2 linked regions of the Diceros bicornis minor genome follow. The protein of the gene in region 1 interacts with the protein of each later gene in a pairwise test. Links are inferred from orthologs where the notes say so. Each region holds a gene or a part of one and is shown on either strand. Other genes may lie near its edges.

Evidence for each region. The genes of interacting proteins can lie anywhere in the genome.
Region 2: the proteins of RGS20 (region 1) and FASLG interact in binary tests that used the Homo sapiens proteins (3 or more experiments, as listed by UniProt). The two-hybrid records come from large-scale screens. The link is inferred for Diceros bicornis minor from reciprocal best matches to the Homo sapiens genes RGS20 and FASLG.

The regions. Positions count from the first base shown.
Region 1 is NC_080772.1:7,745,140-7,753,141, forward strand, and holds the start of RGS20 (regulator of G-protein signaling 20), read left to right. Parts: upstream 1-4,932; coding exon 4,933-5,091; coding exon of another isoform or gene 5,092-5,097; intron 5,098-8,002. UniProt on the Homo sapiens protein: Inhibits signal transduction by increasing the GTPase activity of G protein alpha subunits thereby driving them into their inactive GDP-bound form.
Region 2 is NC_080743.1:93,508,404-93,515,600, reverse strand, and holds the start of FASLG (tumor necrosis factor ligand superfamily member 6), read left to right. Parts: upstream 1-4,108; 5' UTR 4,109-4,159; intron 4,160-4,558; 5' UTR 4,559-4,644; coding exon 4,645-4,992; intron 4,993-5,588; coding exon 5,589-5,634; intron 5,635-7,197. UniProt on the Homo sapiens protein: Cytokine that binds to TNFRSF6/FAS, a receptor that transduces the apoptotic signal into cells. Involved in cytotoxic T-cell-mediated apoptosis, natural killer cell-mediated apoptosis and in T-cell development.

The DNA of each region.
Region 1 (8,002 bases):
TATTATCATATCTGTCTCACGGCTAAAATTTTAAAAGTGTCTGTCTGTATGCTTATATATGTTTATATATGAATGTTATAGATGTGTGATTTTTCTACCTCCAGATGGTATTGACAAAATTAATTTGTAAAAGAGCTCTATTTAACTGGCTTAAAGAAAACTAAGCACTTATATAAATTAAATATTCTCTCATGAATATAGAAATTAACCCAAATGTTCTTCAAGTTTGTGTGATCTGGGATAATCTTTGCTGAATAAAAGCTAGTCTAAGTTTGTTGGTTTAATTAAAACAGGCATGTCTTCAGAGTTATCAACATTAAATTTAATGCAGACCTATAACTTTAATTCTACCCAGGTTTACTAGTCATATAATCTCATGTTATGGCTATTACACAGCATTTCAGGAAGAAAAATAATTTGAAATGATGGTTAGCTCTTTAATGTCTTGTGAAATTTTCATAAATAATCTAAACATAATTTTTAAGAACAAGTGAATTGAATAGATATAAGTAAAAGTTTATAAATGAACTTTTCAACAATAATTATGTTTTATGTATCTCTACTTAAAAATTGTGTCAAGAGTCTTAAATGTGTGTTCATAGCCATCAGATGGTCTCACTGAGCTCAGAGAAACAGAACAAGGTGAACAACGAGATGAACAGAAGAAACCTTCCACAAACCTGACATCATGACCTGTGAGTTTCACAGTGAGACAAGAACAACGTAACCCTGATGGTGACTGAGAGTGGCACTAGTGCCAAATTTTTGGTCAATCGCTCATGTGTGAGAGGATGGCCAAATGGGGAAATTGTTAAAGTCATTAAGGAGGCCATTAAACTGAGATGGCTCTAATGCCTTGGTCGCCTATGTAACCCAGGGTCAATTCCTGAAATGCACTTATATCCTAGAAAATGAAACTAAAACAATCACAAACAGCCAACTAACCTTTCCCAAATTAGGTAACTGCTTAAGCTATAGCCAATCAAATAATTTCCTTGCTTTGCTTCCACATCAGCTCTATAAAAGCTTTTTCCTGAGCTCCTGTTAATGGAGCACTTTCAGTTTGGTGCTGTCCAATTCAAATTGATGTTTGCTCAAATAAACTCTTGAAATTTTTAATGTGCCTCAGTTTATCTTTTAACACTATGATCTGAATGTTTGTGTTGCTCTCAAAATACATGTATTGAAGCCCTAAACCCAAGTGTGATGGTAGTTGGAAATTGGGCCTTTAGAAGGTAATTAGGGTTAGATGAGGTCATGAGGGTGGGCCCTCAGGATTAGTGCCCTTGTAAGAAGAGACACCAGAGAGGGAGCCCTCTCTCTCAACATGCACAAGCACTGAGGAAAAGCCATGCAAGAATACAGCAAGAAGGTGGCTGTCTGCAAGCCGGGAAGAGAGCTCTCACCAGAACCTGACCATGCTGGCACCCCGTCCTCAGACTGTTAGCCTCCAGGACTGTGAGAAAATAAATTTCTGTTGGTTAACCCACACAGTCTATGGTATTTTGTTACGGCAGCCCGAGCAGACTATTACACAATATAAATGAAGCCACTTAATCACACCACCAGAACAAAGTATGAATAAACATCATTGACAACAGAGAGAGACTAAAACTCCTGTGAACAGGTACAAAATGCGAGAGCAAGCATACTTAATCCCTCTCTTTCTCATTCAGTTGGAGACACATTTATTGAGTATCCGAAGTTTGACAGTCTCTCCAATTTTCTTTGAGGTTTCTTTGGAGTTGTTCAGAGTCAAGTTGAGGAGCACAGATATAGTCAGATAATTTCAGCAAGCGCAGTAGCAGGGATGCATCTAGAACTACTCTGTGCACCTGGAAGAGGAAGCTGATACTGCTGCTCACTGAGAGAAGGGGGAGGTCAGGGGGCTCCATTTAAGGACTGACACTTGCACTAGTCCTAAGCAAGGCAGGCACATTAGGAAACAGGCAAAGGGCATTCCAGGCAAAAGGGAGAAAGATTGATTCTTAGATTCTGAATGAGTCCCTTTCCTTCTTTCTACTCTTAACCCACTTGAAAATGTTGTCATTTTTAACATGAAATAGTTTACTTCATGAGAAGTAAAATGCAGAGCATGTTTCTCTGCATAACCAAGCAAAGCTGGTGATCAGGTCTGCTCTGCACATCATCTTGCCTGTACCTCCCCAGCCGCAGACCTGTCATTATGCGGCAGGTCTCATCAGGTTCCAGAAAGAACTCCTCTTTTCAGAGGGGTGTGGAACAAAATCAGGAACAAGGCAGTGAGCAGAACGGGCTGCTACACCGGTCAGCTGGGATGGCTTTCTTCAAGCATCATGGTGTTACCAGATATCTATCTGGAACTAGGGAGAAGAGAAGAGGCAGGTGGTCCCTGCTGCTGTTTCCCTTACCTGATCTCTTCAACACGTCTATCGGTGACCTCAGCTGGCATAATTACATGTTATAGCATATGCAAGGTATCCTCTGAGCTGTTTCGTAATTTCTTCATAATTGAGCTCCAGATTTACTACTTACAAATGACATAAGGGAAATAAGATAAAACTGTATTGACAGGAGAAAAATAATAGTAATAATTAATGTATTCATCAAATTAAGTCAATAGCCCATATCTTTAACAATTTTTTCACTAGAATAGGGTCATATTATATGTTTGGAGAAAATATACCACCTAGAAGTGATCAGAGGTGGAAAAATTATGAAATTTCAAAGGAATTTCTTAAGTTTGAAATATATGAAATGTTACAAACATCATCATTTCCAATATTTTCTTCCCAACTGTGAATTGAACTTACATTTGCCCATAGAAATAGAGGAGTTCTAGTCAAAGGAAATCCTATTCTAAAAAGATGATTTATCATGAAAAACATACTGCCTCCTAGTGAAGATTATGCTACCAGCCTACCTTCAGTTGTACAAGGACTTTAAGAAGCTTTTGCAGCTCATTGAATAAATTATTAGTTTAATGAAAGAACAGTTTTTCCATTCTCTTTCATACAATAGGCTTTTGCAAGAAACTGACCTACTTTGGCCTAACAGTAACTCTAAGTATTGACACCATGATGCTTTTACAAAGTACTCTAACCAACTATCCTAACAGCTTCTGACTGCACTGGTATTGCCAAAGCAGGTCTAACAGCAATCACACAAGATTTCACTCACGCACTGTACCAGTGCCCTAAGTTCTTATGGCAACCAAGCTTCAGGATTTTCCAGGTAAGTTCATTGTATTACACTGCACCATTGGTGCCATAAGGACAATCTCCCACAATCTGAAAATTTAAAAATATGGCCACTGTAGTAGACAGCTTCTAAAATGGCTCTTAATGATCCCCACCTGCCAATAATTCATGCCCTTACCAAATCCTCTCTCCTTGAATGTGGGCTAGACCTACTGACTTTCTTCTAAGGAACAGAATACGGCAAAAGGGATGTCACTTCCGAGATCAGGTTACAAAAGACTGTGACTTCTGTCTTGCTTGCATTCTCTCAGGTTCTCTCACTTGTTCACTGTGATGAAGCAGGCTGCCAAGTTGTGAGCTGCTCCAAGGAGAGGCCAACATGGCAGGAGCTGAGGGCTGCCTCCAGTCAACAACCAGCAAGGAATTGACATCCTTAGTCCAATAGCTTTTCAATCCTGGCAACAACTATGTAAGTGAGCCTTGAGTGAGTTCGACTTTTGTCGACTCAAGTGTCAACTTTTGTGGACTTTTGTGCCTGGCTTCTCTCACTTAGCATAGAGTTTTCAAGGTTCATCCATGTGGTAGCATATGTCAGAATTTCATTCCATTTTATTGCTGAATAGTATTCCATTGGATGGACATACCTCCCTTTGTCTATCTATTCACCGTTTGATGGGAATGTGGGTTTTTTCCAATTATTGGACATTTGTGTGCAAGTCTTTTTGTGCTCACGTGTTTCACTTCTCTTGCTTTGGTAGATATCTAAGAGGGAATTGCTGGATCATGTGGTAACTCTATGTTAAACATTCTAAGGAACTGCCAAACTGTTTTCCAAACTGGTTGCCACATTTTACATTCCCACCAGCTTTGTATGAGAGTCCCAATTTCTCCACATACTCACTAACACATGTTATTGACTGTCTTTTTGAGTAAAGCCAACCTACCAGGTGTGAAGTGGTATCCCATTGTGATTTTGACTTGCCTTTCCCTAATGGCTAACAATGTTGAGCATCTTTCCAGGGGTTTATTGGCCATTTGTATATCTCCTTTGGAGAAATACCTATTTAGACACCTCACTCATTTTTAGTTGGGTTTTTTTCATTTTCAGTTGTAAGAGCTCTTCATATATTCCGGGTACAAGTCATTTATTACGTGCATAAGATTTGTAATATTTTCTCATAAGAAAATCACTTTAATTCACTCTACGTGGCATAAATAGAAAGTGTAATAATTCTTGGGCTTAAGTTTGGGTACGAGTTTAGCATACGTTTATAGCTATGAAGCTGACTGTTATTAAAGTGACCTCTTAAGAAACCTAGACAGATTAGGGGGACCATCTGCCTCTTGATTGCATAGCCCAAGATTGTCAAGCACTATTCCCTATCACACAACTAGTAATACAGAATTTTGCAGAACAATCTATTTCCTTTATCATTATAGACTAGACAATACATCATTTCTTTCAGTTTTGATTTAGGATTAGAATTAGGAATACATTTCTACCTGTAGAGGGCAGTCATAATACACCCAGACAATCAGAATAGGAGGCTCTACCTGGAATAGAACACTAAGGATCTGCGGATAAGCTGCTGATCCAGAAAATAGATAATTCTTTTGCTTCCATTGGTGTAACTTTCCAGGGAGGCCCTCAGCAGACTGAGAGATGGCCCAGCATCAGCCAAAAGAAGAGAAATAGAGTGGACCCGGAGCCAGTGTTAAAATCAGGCCACAGGACTTATTCGGAGCCCTTATTATGCCCCAGCTTTCCCAAGAGAACCAAGAGTGCCTCCAGAAACATTTCTCCAGGCCATCTATGTGGAAGCAATTTCTGCCCCTGCCTCAGGCTGAGGGATATAATGCAAACATTCAGCAAGCCATGGAAAATGAAGGTGGGACCAAGGCTGGGCATGATGTCCAGGTAAGACAATCTCCACAATCCATGATCCTTTCTTGACAAGGAAAGGGCTTATGCAGAACGAATATAAACCATAAGCAAGCTTTAGTGCCATTGCTCACTTTATCTCAGTGACGATATCTCAAAAATGTTTTCAAACCAACGCCAAGAGAAAAACTAGAACCTTGATGATAATTACCTGATCTGTCTAGCTTTCTCCAACCTATAAAGCTTCTCTTTACCAATACAAATGACTATTGAATTATTTTTGTTTGTTTCAGGGGGTAGTGTTTTAAAAAGCAGACGACCTAGACATAGATTTTTGTGGCAATTGCTAGTAACCGTTGAATGTTTTTCTCTGATATAAAGATTATATCCCATATAATAATGAAAGAAAAATTATAGACTGCTTTTTATAAAAATTGGTAGAGAAAAAAATTGATAAATGAATACAGAAACATAAGAACATTGAGCTCAAGGGGTGTTTTTCCTAAATTCATGGTTTCCTAAGGTAGATTTCCTAAGCATGAATTTCCACCGCTAGATAATATTATTTTCCCAAAGAGTGACAATTTTCCTGCTCAGTGTTGTGTGTATCTTTGCAGAAAGTACAGTTTAAGTCTGTAAATCCTCTTAACTATTAATAGAACCATCTCTTAAAGGTTATTTGGTGTGGAGGGGGACAGGCATGTGTTAATGTCTAACAAATAATGAGCAGAGCTTAGAATTAAATGCTGCAAAATCATACTACAGCAAACCCATCCAACTGCTGAAACACTAGAAAATTCATCTGTCCCTGTGCCACAGCTCATATCCTGATAATAATCATCATTTATTTGGAGACTTTCTATTTAATTCTCTGGATCTGCCCCTTTCCTGATGTTATTTTAATCAATTGGCATAGGAGAAAAAAAGTTTTAAAAAAAGTCATTAGGAAGCTTTTTCTGTAGAAATGTATTCACCTTTGTTTCTAAGCTTTCAGAGATCTGTGAACAAATAATACATGAATTTCCACACTCCCTATTATCACCTAAGCACTAGGTCTTTAGGAAACTAGAATGAAATGGGATATCGTGGCCAGAAGTCCTTAATTAATGGGAATCTAAATCTAGGCGACACGTGCAAAAGAGATTTCTAGAAGGTAGAGTTTGGAGGCTCCTCTGAGGAAACAGACAGCAACAACAATATACATATGTTGTGTGTGTGTGTAAATATGTATAATATATGGACACACACGTATAATTTCAAAGTCAAACTGTCTTGAGGGTATGCTTTAAGCAGAACCATAGGCAAATGAATTGGAAAGGTATTTAAGAATCAGCAGTACCTTTCCATAGCGTCCTGGAATCAACTGCACTGCGGGCGCCAGGCGATCCAAGCTGCCATCCTGACCTCATTAACCCAAGTACACCAGCTCCAGCCTGTGCAGCAGCGGGCGTGGGCAGTCAGGAGAGATCCAGCTGGGATGCTACTGGCCTCTCCACTCAGTTTTGCCTTTTTAAAAAATCTTCCTATATTGCATCTGAATATAGATGCACATGTCCCTCTTATAGCAAGTATATGAATGGCAGAACTCAGTTCATTTTAATTCTACAAATGTCCTTGAGTCCTTGCTATCCCCAAAGCCTTGAGCTAGATTTTGAGAAAGAGAAAGATATGCTCCTCTCTCTCTACAGACTCACGATATATTGGGAAAGACAAACATATCAACATATTATCATCATATCATATTATCATATTATTGGCATGACTCATGTCAATGTAATTCAATCAGTAAGGCAGTAAGAAACTAGGGATGGAATATAATCAATATGAAGTAAAACAACTGAAAAAGGCCTAATGAAAATGTGAAAGAGGTGAAATTTAAGGTAGACATGAAATAGGAATGGAGGAATGTAGAGAAGTAGACAGGGAGAACATGGGCTAAAATGTGTCTAGACATCCAAGGCCCGTGTTACAACCCTCCAAGATCCTCACAACCTAAGCCTAACACCACATAAAATATTAAACCAAAATGGATCATGGCCTTAAATGTACAACAATATGTAGAACTATAAAACTGCTAGAAAAAAATGATAGAAAATCTTTGCGACGTAAGTCAAGGCAGAGTTCTCAAACATCAAAAGCATAATCCCTAAAGGAAAAATTGATAAATTGGGCCTCATCAAAAATAAAAACTTTTGCTCTGCCAAAGACCCTATTTAAGAGGATAAAAAGACAAGATACAGACTTTGAAAAAACACTTGCAAACCCCATATCTGACAAAGGCTTTGTATCTAGAATATATAAAGAACTCTCAAAAGTCAAGAGTAAAAAGCCAAACAATCCAAATAAAAATATGGGCAAAAGACATGAACAGACATTTCATCACAGAGCACATACAGCTGGCAAACAAACACATGAAAAGATAGTCAACATCGTTAGCCATTAGGGAAATGCAAATTAAAACCACGATGAAATATCACTACACACCTATCAGAATGGCTAAAGTGAAAAACAGTGACAAAACAAAATGGTGACAAGGATGTAGAGAAACTAGATCACTCATACATTGCTGGTAGGAATGCAAAATGGTACAGCCAGTCTGGAAACAATTTGGCAGTTTCTTATAAAACTAAACATGCAACTATCATATGGCCCAGCAATTTCACTATTGGGCATTTATCCCAGAGAAATGAAAACCTATGTTCACGCACACTGCATATGGTAATGTTCATAGCAGCTTTATTCATAACAGCCAAAAACTAGAACCAACCCAGGGCCGGCCCCGTGGCTTAGCGGTTAAGTGCGTGCGCTCCGATGCAGGCTGCCCGGGTTCGGATCCCGGGCGCGCACAGACGCACTGCTTCTCCGGCCATCCTGAGGCCGCGTCCCACATACAGCAACTAGAAGAATGTGCAACTGTGACATACAACTATCGCCTGGGGCT
Region 2 (7,197 bases), on another chromosome or scaffold:
GAAGAAATTAGGATTAGATGCAGTCATAAAGGTGGAGCCCTTATGAATGGGATTAGTGCTCTTATGAGAGTCATGAGAGAGCTTGCTTCCTCTCTCTGGTTCCATCATATGAGGATACAATGAGAAGTGCTATCTGCAATATGCAAACCACAGTCTTTTTATAAGTTAGTCTTAGAAGCACTATCTCATCACTTCTGCTATATTCTATTCGTTAGAAGTGAGTCAATAAGTCTAGCCCACACTCAAGAGAAGGCCATTATAAAGGGCATGAATACCAGGAGATAGGGGATCATTAGGTCATCTTATAGACTACTCATCTAAAAATACCACAGAAAATAAGGCACTACTTATAAGCATAACAAAATTACAAAGTATCAAGCAATTTATCTAAGAAAGAATATGTAAACTTGATATATGATAAATATACTGCTGTAATTCAGTGGGGGAAAAGATGGCTCGTGTTGGGAAAACTGGTTCATATGTGGAGAAAAACAAAGATGGACTTATTTCACATCACACACAAACGCGAACTCCAGACAGATTAAAGCCTAAATATGAAATTTGTGGTGGTGTGGGAGAATTTACTTGCAATGTCTAAAAGCAACAATGGATTAATATCTAGGATATAAGGTACGAGGAAACCCTGGGAATCAGCCCAAGAGAAATAAGAAACCCAGTTAAAAGATGGACATGGTGTATGAACAGGAAATATACACAAAAGGGAAAATGTGAAGGTCTAACAAGTATATGACGAGATATTCAACCTCAAAAGAAATCAGAAAAAGGAAAACTAATAGACGAGATACAACTTTATAACCCTAATGCTTGGTAAAAATTAGAAAGATGAATAATACCAAGTAGAGATGAAGACATGGGATAAGATAGTCATGTTGGTGTTGGTGTCAATAGATTCAGCCACTGTGACGAGCAGCCTGGAGGTACTTAGTGACATTAAATGTGTAGGGTACATGTTTGTGAACAGACTCCAGTTAAGAGTGCACTGGGGCCTTTGCTCACCTCTGGGGATGATCAGCTGCTATTTTCATCATGCACCATTCTACGCTCCTGCCCAGTCACGGCTAGAGCTCTGGGCTCCGGCCCACTGAGTTAACTTCCCTGCTAAGACACTGGATGGGTGGGAAGAAATAGGTGGCCCTTTTCCTTACCACTCTGTCCTTTTAAATTCCACAAGACTAACACACTAAACTGGGGAAGCACACTTGAATCCTTTTACTAAAGGGTCAGGACAATTTCTGAAGGGAATTACAATGCTAGAGGGACCATAATTAAAGACAATTTAAAATTTCATCTAATGAAATAGATGAAAGATACTTTAAAAATTCTAACAACTTGCACAAGGAAGTTTCTCTGATTTGGTCCTGCACTTAAATGTGCTCCCAAGTCTCACCCATTATCTTTAAATCTCTGTGACTGGCAATCCTATCCCTCCTCCTGAAAGAAATCGCCAGCTCTGACTCTCTCTCTGCTGTCCATCCTCAAGGAACCTGGTTGCAGAACCAGAGATGCAGGCTCAAGTAAGGGGGATACGGTGAAGATGACCGAAGCTCTTCAACTTGGGTTTTCCATGTGTGGAAGCTGCCAGCCCGCTGGCTCTTTAGTTTATCTGTTCAGTGCATCTCTCGAAGGCGAATATATATATTTTTTTCTTCAGCAATCACAGAGCTTCTAAGAGACACTTTGAAAAGATTATTTCTGCTAATTAACAAGGTGCTGGTAGTACCCCAAATTGTGATAGGTCCCTGTTATTGTCTGCAGTGGTGGTTATTTTTCCATGATCTTGCCAACTTGTGATGTTTGGTGGCATCATCACAGAGCGATTCCAGTGTTTAAAGGTGGCTCTCTTTGTCTCTATTCCAGTTCAGACTCTCCCTGTGATTGGAGGGTCCTGGGTGGGCTGGGGGCAGGTATTAAGATTCTGATTCCTCCTATCACAGAATGAATCAAGAGAAGAAGCAGGGCAGAGAGAGAGACGTGAAAATACAGAATAATTCTTATTAAAAAATGCTGAAAGATTCTGTGGCAGTTTGAGACAGAAAAGCAGGGAGGTCTTAGCCTGAAACAGAGGGCCCTTCAGTCCATCAGTTCACTGCTAGAATCTCTGAGGATGCTGGGTGTCAGGCATCAATTTTGTACTTTCCCCAGAAACCTCTCTCCCGCTCTCCACCTTGTTGTAGCCTTAATGGAAGAAGGTCAATTACATTTGGTCTAGAGATGAATTATATGTGGGAAGATTCACTACATTTACGACAACAACAATAAAGTTTGTTGAGTGCTTGCTTTGATGCTAGAGTCTATTTTAAGCGTATCAAATGCTTTGAGTCATTTAATCCTCACAGGGCTGTCTGAAATAGATACTATTATGATCATGCCCATTTTTATAGAGGAGAAAACTGTGGCACAGAGGAGAGAAAGTGGCCTGTCCAGGTCACAGAGCTAACAAGTGGAAGAACTGGGACTTGACCGCAGGCAGTTTAACTCCAGAACCATCTAATACCCCTAACCATCGCTCAACACTTTCCATCCTCCCCATCCAGGATGTGGGGTATTTTTCCACTTATTTGAATCTTTGCTATTTTCAGTAAAATTTTTATAATTTTAAAAATATGATTCTATATAATTTTTGTTAGAGTATTTTCAGGATATTTTAAGGGTTTTTCTTCTCTTTTCTTTCTTTTTTTGAGAAAGATTGGCCCTGAGCTAACATCTGTTGCCAATCTTCCTCTTTTTATTTTTTTCCTTCCCAAAGCCCCAGTACATAGTTGTATATCCTAGTTGTAGGTTGTTCTAGTTCTTCTATGTGGGATGCCACCTCAGCATGGCTTGATGAGCAGAGAGCAGGTCTGCGCTCAGGATCCGAACCTGTGAACCCCAGGCTGCCAGAAGCGGAGCGTCCCAACTTAACCATTATACCGCTGGGCCGGCCTCCAACTTATGAACTTTAAACTTACCATTTTTCATAACTATGAATAAAACCGTACATGAGTTCAAAAGCACATTAAACCTGCCCACCTCTAAAAGACAGTAAGAACCTTGTGCAGTCATTCTGGTCTCATCTGTCACACTGTCTCGTGAATGGAGAGGGGGATGTGGGCAGAAGTGCCTGGAGAGGAGACAGAGCTCGCTGTTGGGGTCTGGCTGTAAAGAGCCTGTGTGTCGTGCTAAGGTTACATTGGGAGTGGGAATGGAGTGGGGTGGGCAGATGGGTGCGGGGTGGGCAGAATGTGGCAGGAAAAGAAGTTTGATGTTTGGTCCAGTGGAGAGCCGGGATGATAGCCGCAGTAATGCCAAAGCATGGAATAGAAACTAATGGAATTCGAAAAGTAGAGTCCTCCAATAAAGCGGAAAATAGAGATTTATGGGAGGTTTATACGGTTTGTATGGGAGAATGCTTGGGACTGGAGCTGAGCTCTAGGAAGTTATTGGCATATAAATGGTATTTGAAGTCAGAGAAAAGGATGACGTCAGTCCAAGTAGAGTTGCCATCTTTAGTAAAAAGCAAACAAACAAATAGGACAAACAGTTAAATTTGAACTTCAGATAAACAACGAAGACTTTTTTGGTATATTCCATTTAATGTTTAGCGCATAGTTATCCTAAAAATTATTTAATGGTTATCTGAAATTCAAATTTAACTAGGCACCATGTATTTCATCCAACAACCGTAACAGAGGCTGCAAACAGAAATGCCCAGAGGGACCGGGAAGGCCACTTCATGTGGCCGATGGTGTGTGGACCAGTGGAGGGTGATGCAGGCTGGGCAACCTGCAGCACCTATGTCTCATCCATGGGGCAGCTGCTGCCCAGCTCCAGCTGACGGGGTTTGCAGAGATGGCCTTGAGATGTCCAACATTCTAATGTTTCAAAACAGAATAGAAGTATATATATCTTTATTTGGAATATGCCAATTTTAAAAAGGGACAACCAATGAAAAGAAAAAACATCGTGAGGCACAAACAAAGCAGGTCTGTGGGTTCCACAAGGCATACGGGCCACTGGCTTGTAACCTCTGATCTAATCTCTAGAGAGTGGGTGGGGCAGGTTTTTAACCTGTAAATTACAGTGCTGTGCAATGTCAGGGTGAAGAGCACTTCGGCGTGGGGAAGGGGTGGCAGCAGGGGATGATTCCCTCATGCAAAAGGTAAGACGTGGACGCGACTCCTCTGGCCACAACTCCATGGTCTCGCCCCTCAGTGCCTGAACACGCCCCCTCTGGTCACTGTCCCTGTGGCTGGGCAGTGGTCAAAGCCCACAGGGCTGCACCCAGTGCTACCTGCTCTCGCAGGGCCTGAGAAAGACGAGCCTACCCTACCAGCCTTTCAGGTAGCAGGGCACTTTGAAGGCTTTCATCAGAAAATTGTGGGCGGAAACTTCCCGAGGTTCACTCTGAGCTTCTTGAGGCTTCTCAGCTTCAGATGCAGAGTGAGTGGGTGTCTCTCTGAGAAGCAAAAAGAGAGAAAGAGAGAGAACGAGAGAGAGGTGTTTCCCTTGGCTATGGAAACTCTATAAAGAGAGAACCTGCTTCTCTTCTCTCCAACAGTCGGCAACTCCTAGCCACCTGGGCCTCCACAGGATTGAGAAGAAGGAAAATCCTTTGCTGGGGGCTGGCCTGAGTCACTGGCTGCCATGCAGCAGCACCTGAATTACTCGTACCCCCAAATCTACTGGGTGGACAGCAGTGCCAGCTCTCCCTGGGCCTCTCCAGGGTCAGTACTCCCCTGCCCATCCTCTGTGCCAGGAAGGCCAGGGCAAAGGAGACCACCACCACCGCCCCCAACAACACTACCACCACCGCCACCACCACGGCCACCACTGCCTCCACTACCACGGCCACCTCCGAAGAAGAGGAGGGACCACAACACGGGCCTGTGTCTCCTCGTGATGTTTTTCATGGTTCTAGTGGCCCTGGTTGGACTGGGGCTGGGGATGTTTCAGCTCTTCCACCTACAGAAGGAGCTGGCCGAACTCCGAGAGGTGAGCCAGCATGGGCGTGGGGACTGCTGTGCCCTGGAGGCACGGGCGGGAGACAGCTCTGCTGCAGGGGAGGGTGTAGGGCTACCATGGTCCACCGGGACCACGGTCTTGCTTGCAAAGTACTTTTGATCCTTTTTTCTTAGAAATGGATCATCCCAGTCATTCTATTCTATAGGCAGAGAAATGGAGGCTCAAATGAGTGAAAAGAGTATTTTCTATCTGGTAAAGAATAAGGGCCAAAATAGGACTGGCACTTACAGTTCTCCCTTTCTCACTTGGCACGTCAGCCCGCTGAGCCACTGCCTACCTCAGGCTTAGTGATTGAGGAGACAAGGAAGTTTTGAGTCTCGCTTAGAAGTGAATGTGTTCAAATGGCCAAACTAGATTTCCTTGAAAATACCTAAAAATATCAGAACTATTCCAAGTCACAAAACTGAGGCAGGGTGAGGCACAATTGCTTGGCCAAAGTCTAAGGTAGGAGAGATTCTGAGGTACTTAGATTCCCTTTCCAGGGCTTGGTTTATTTGACAATTCTGCCTTCTTTGCTTTAAGAACTTCATATTTATTATACATCTTTTCTTTTTCTCTTTTGCCAGTCTACCAGCCAAAGGCATATACCATCATCTTTGGAGAAGCAAATAGGTGAGTCTTTTTATGCATGTATATTGAGTTTCCAAAGATAGTCTTCAGAGCTGAACCATGTTGATGGAATGCCTTGAATTCGTTCTTGGGCATACGTATACTACAAGAGGTATCCTGGCTAATTCTGAATCTTTGGTCATTTTTGTTCCTTGAGCTGGCCTAAAATATGAAGTGAATTTAATTGTTCAAAATCAGTGTCGCTGAGTACTGCACGCAATTCAAAATAATTTCTGCTTGACTTTGGAAAAAGGCACACGTGTACAACTTTAGATCTTTGTCCCCTGAGCAGCTGGCTCCAGGCCTCTCCCCTTCTTCAGACCTTCTGGTTCCTGTATACAAACCAGTGGCTATAACTCCTCAGTAGAGAGGGGGAGGTCAGGGCAGAGAGATATGTTTCTGGGAAAGGTCCTCTCCTCTTTAAGCTCTCTAAGAGATTACTTAAAAGTCAAGCTTTATTCTAAAAATATTTTATAGGATATATCTAAGCTTTTAAGAAGGGGCAATCAGTCATTCACATTAGGATGGTTCTTTTGCAGTCACTGGAAAGCTTGGGGGAAGACTTTAGCCCTTATTCAAAGGGTAGTCCAGTTTCACCCACAAGGGCAATCATGAGCTACTTTTGCTAATAAAGGAAAATCCTTCCTATGAGATCCAAGACAGGAAGAAGATGAAAATGTTGAACAGTGACCTCACGAAGTTTCAGGATATAGTTTTGGAAATTGTGAACAGATAGATTTAGGATACTCCAGGTCATTAAACTAAGTTCATTGAGCTTTAGATTTGGCAAGTGTTGGAAGAGAGCTTAGAGAGCATCTGGTCCAGTAATCTCATTTTTCGGAAGAGAATCAAAATACCAGACAGATTAGGCGATATGTCCAAGATCACTGGTGTGGAACTGGGGCTAGAAGGAACACAGGCCCCTGATGCCTTGTCACCGACAAGGCTTTCTAGTATATGGACTGGTGCCTCATGAAATAGGGAAACTCTCATCTCTCTATGTTGGCCACGGAATGAGAAACAAAGATGACAAGCAAGATGCCTTTGCAAAGACAATAGGTAAATCTCGCCCTTAGAAACTGGGAAGAAAGCAGAAGGCAGCACTGGTGACCAGTGAGGGGAGCCTGTTCCAATTTCTCAAGATGTGCCTGCTGCAGGTGACTCAAGTCATACGGCCCTAGAATGCAAGCTCTTGTAGAAGCCATCCTTAGGATGCTCTGCTCCCTAGTTCTGGATCCGAGTCCCTATGTGTTAGAAATTTCAGATGTACAAAAGCAGAGTAGAAATATTTGTTAGAAAATAAAGTCCCTGGAAGATTTCTAAAATAAAATAGTCTTGAAAATCAGTGGAATGTGGCTGATGAAACAGGTACCTAATTACTCATCTTTCACCCACTCTCTGGAGTCATTTTAGTAATTAAAAGTCAAGTGAACAGATGAGTCAGGTCTACCTACCACAGTATCTTCTCTAGATCAACCCAGATCTAGGATCAAGAATTGGTGAATTATCATATGGAAATCAAATTAGCAATTTTACTGATAAGATAAGAGATGCAAATTAAAACAA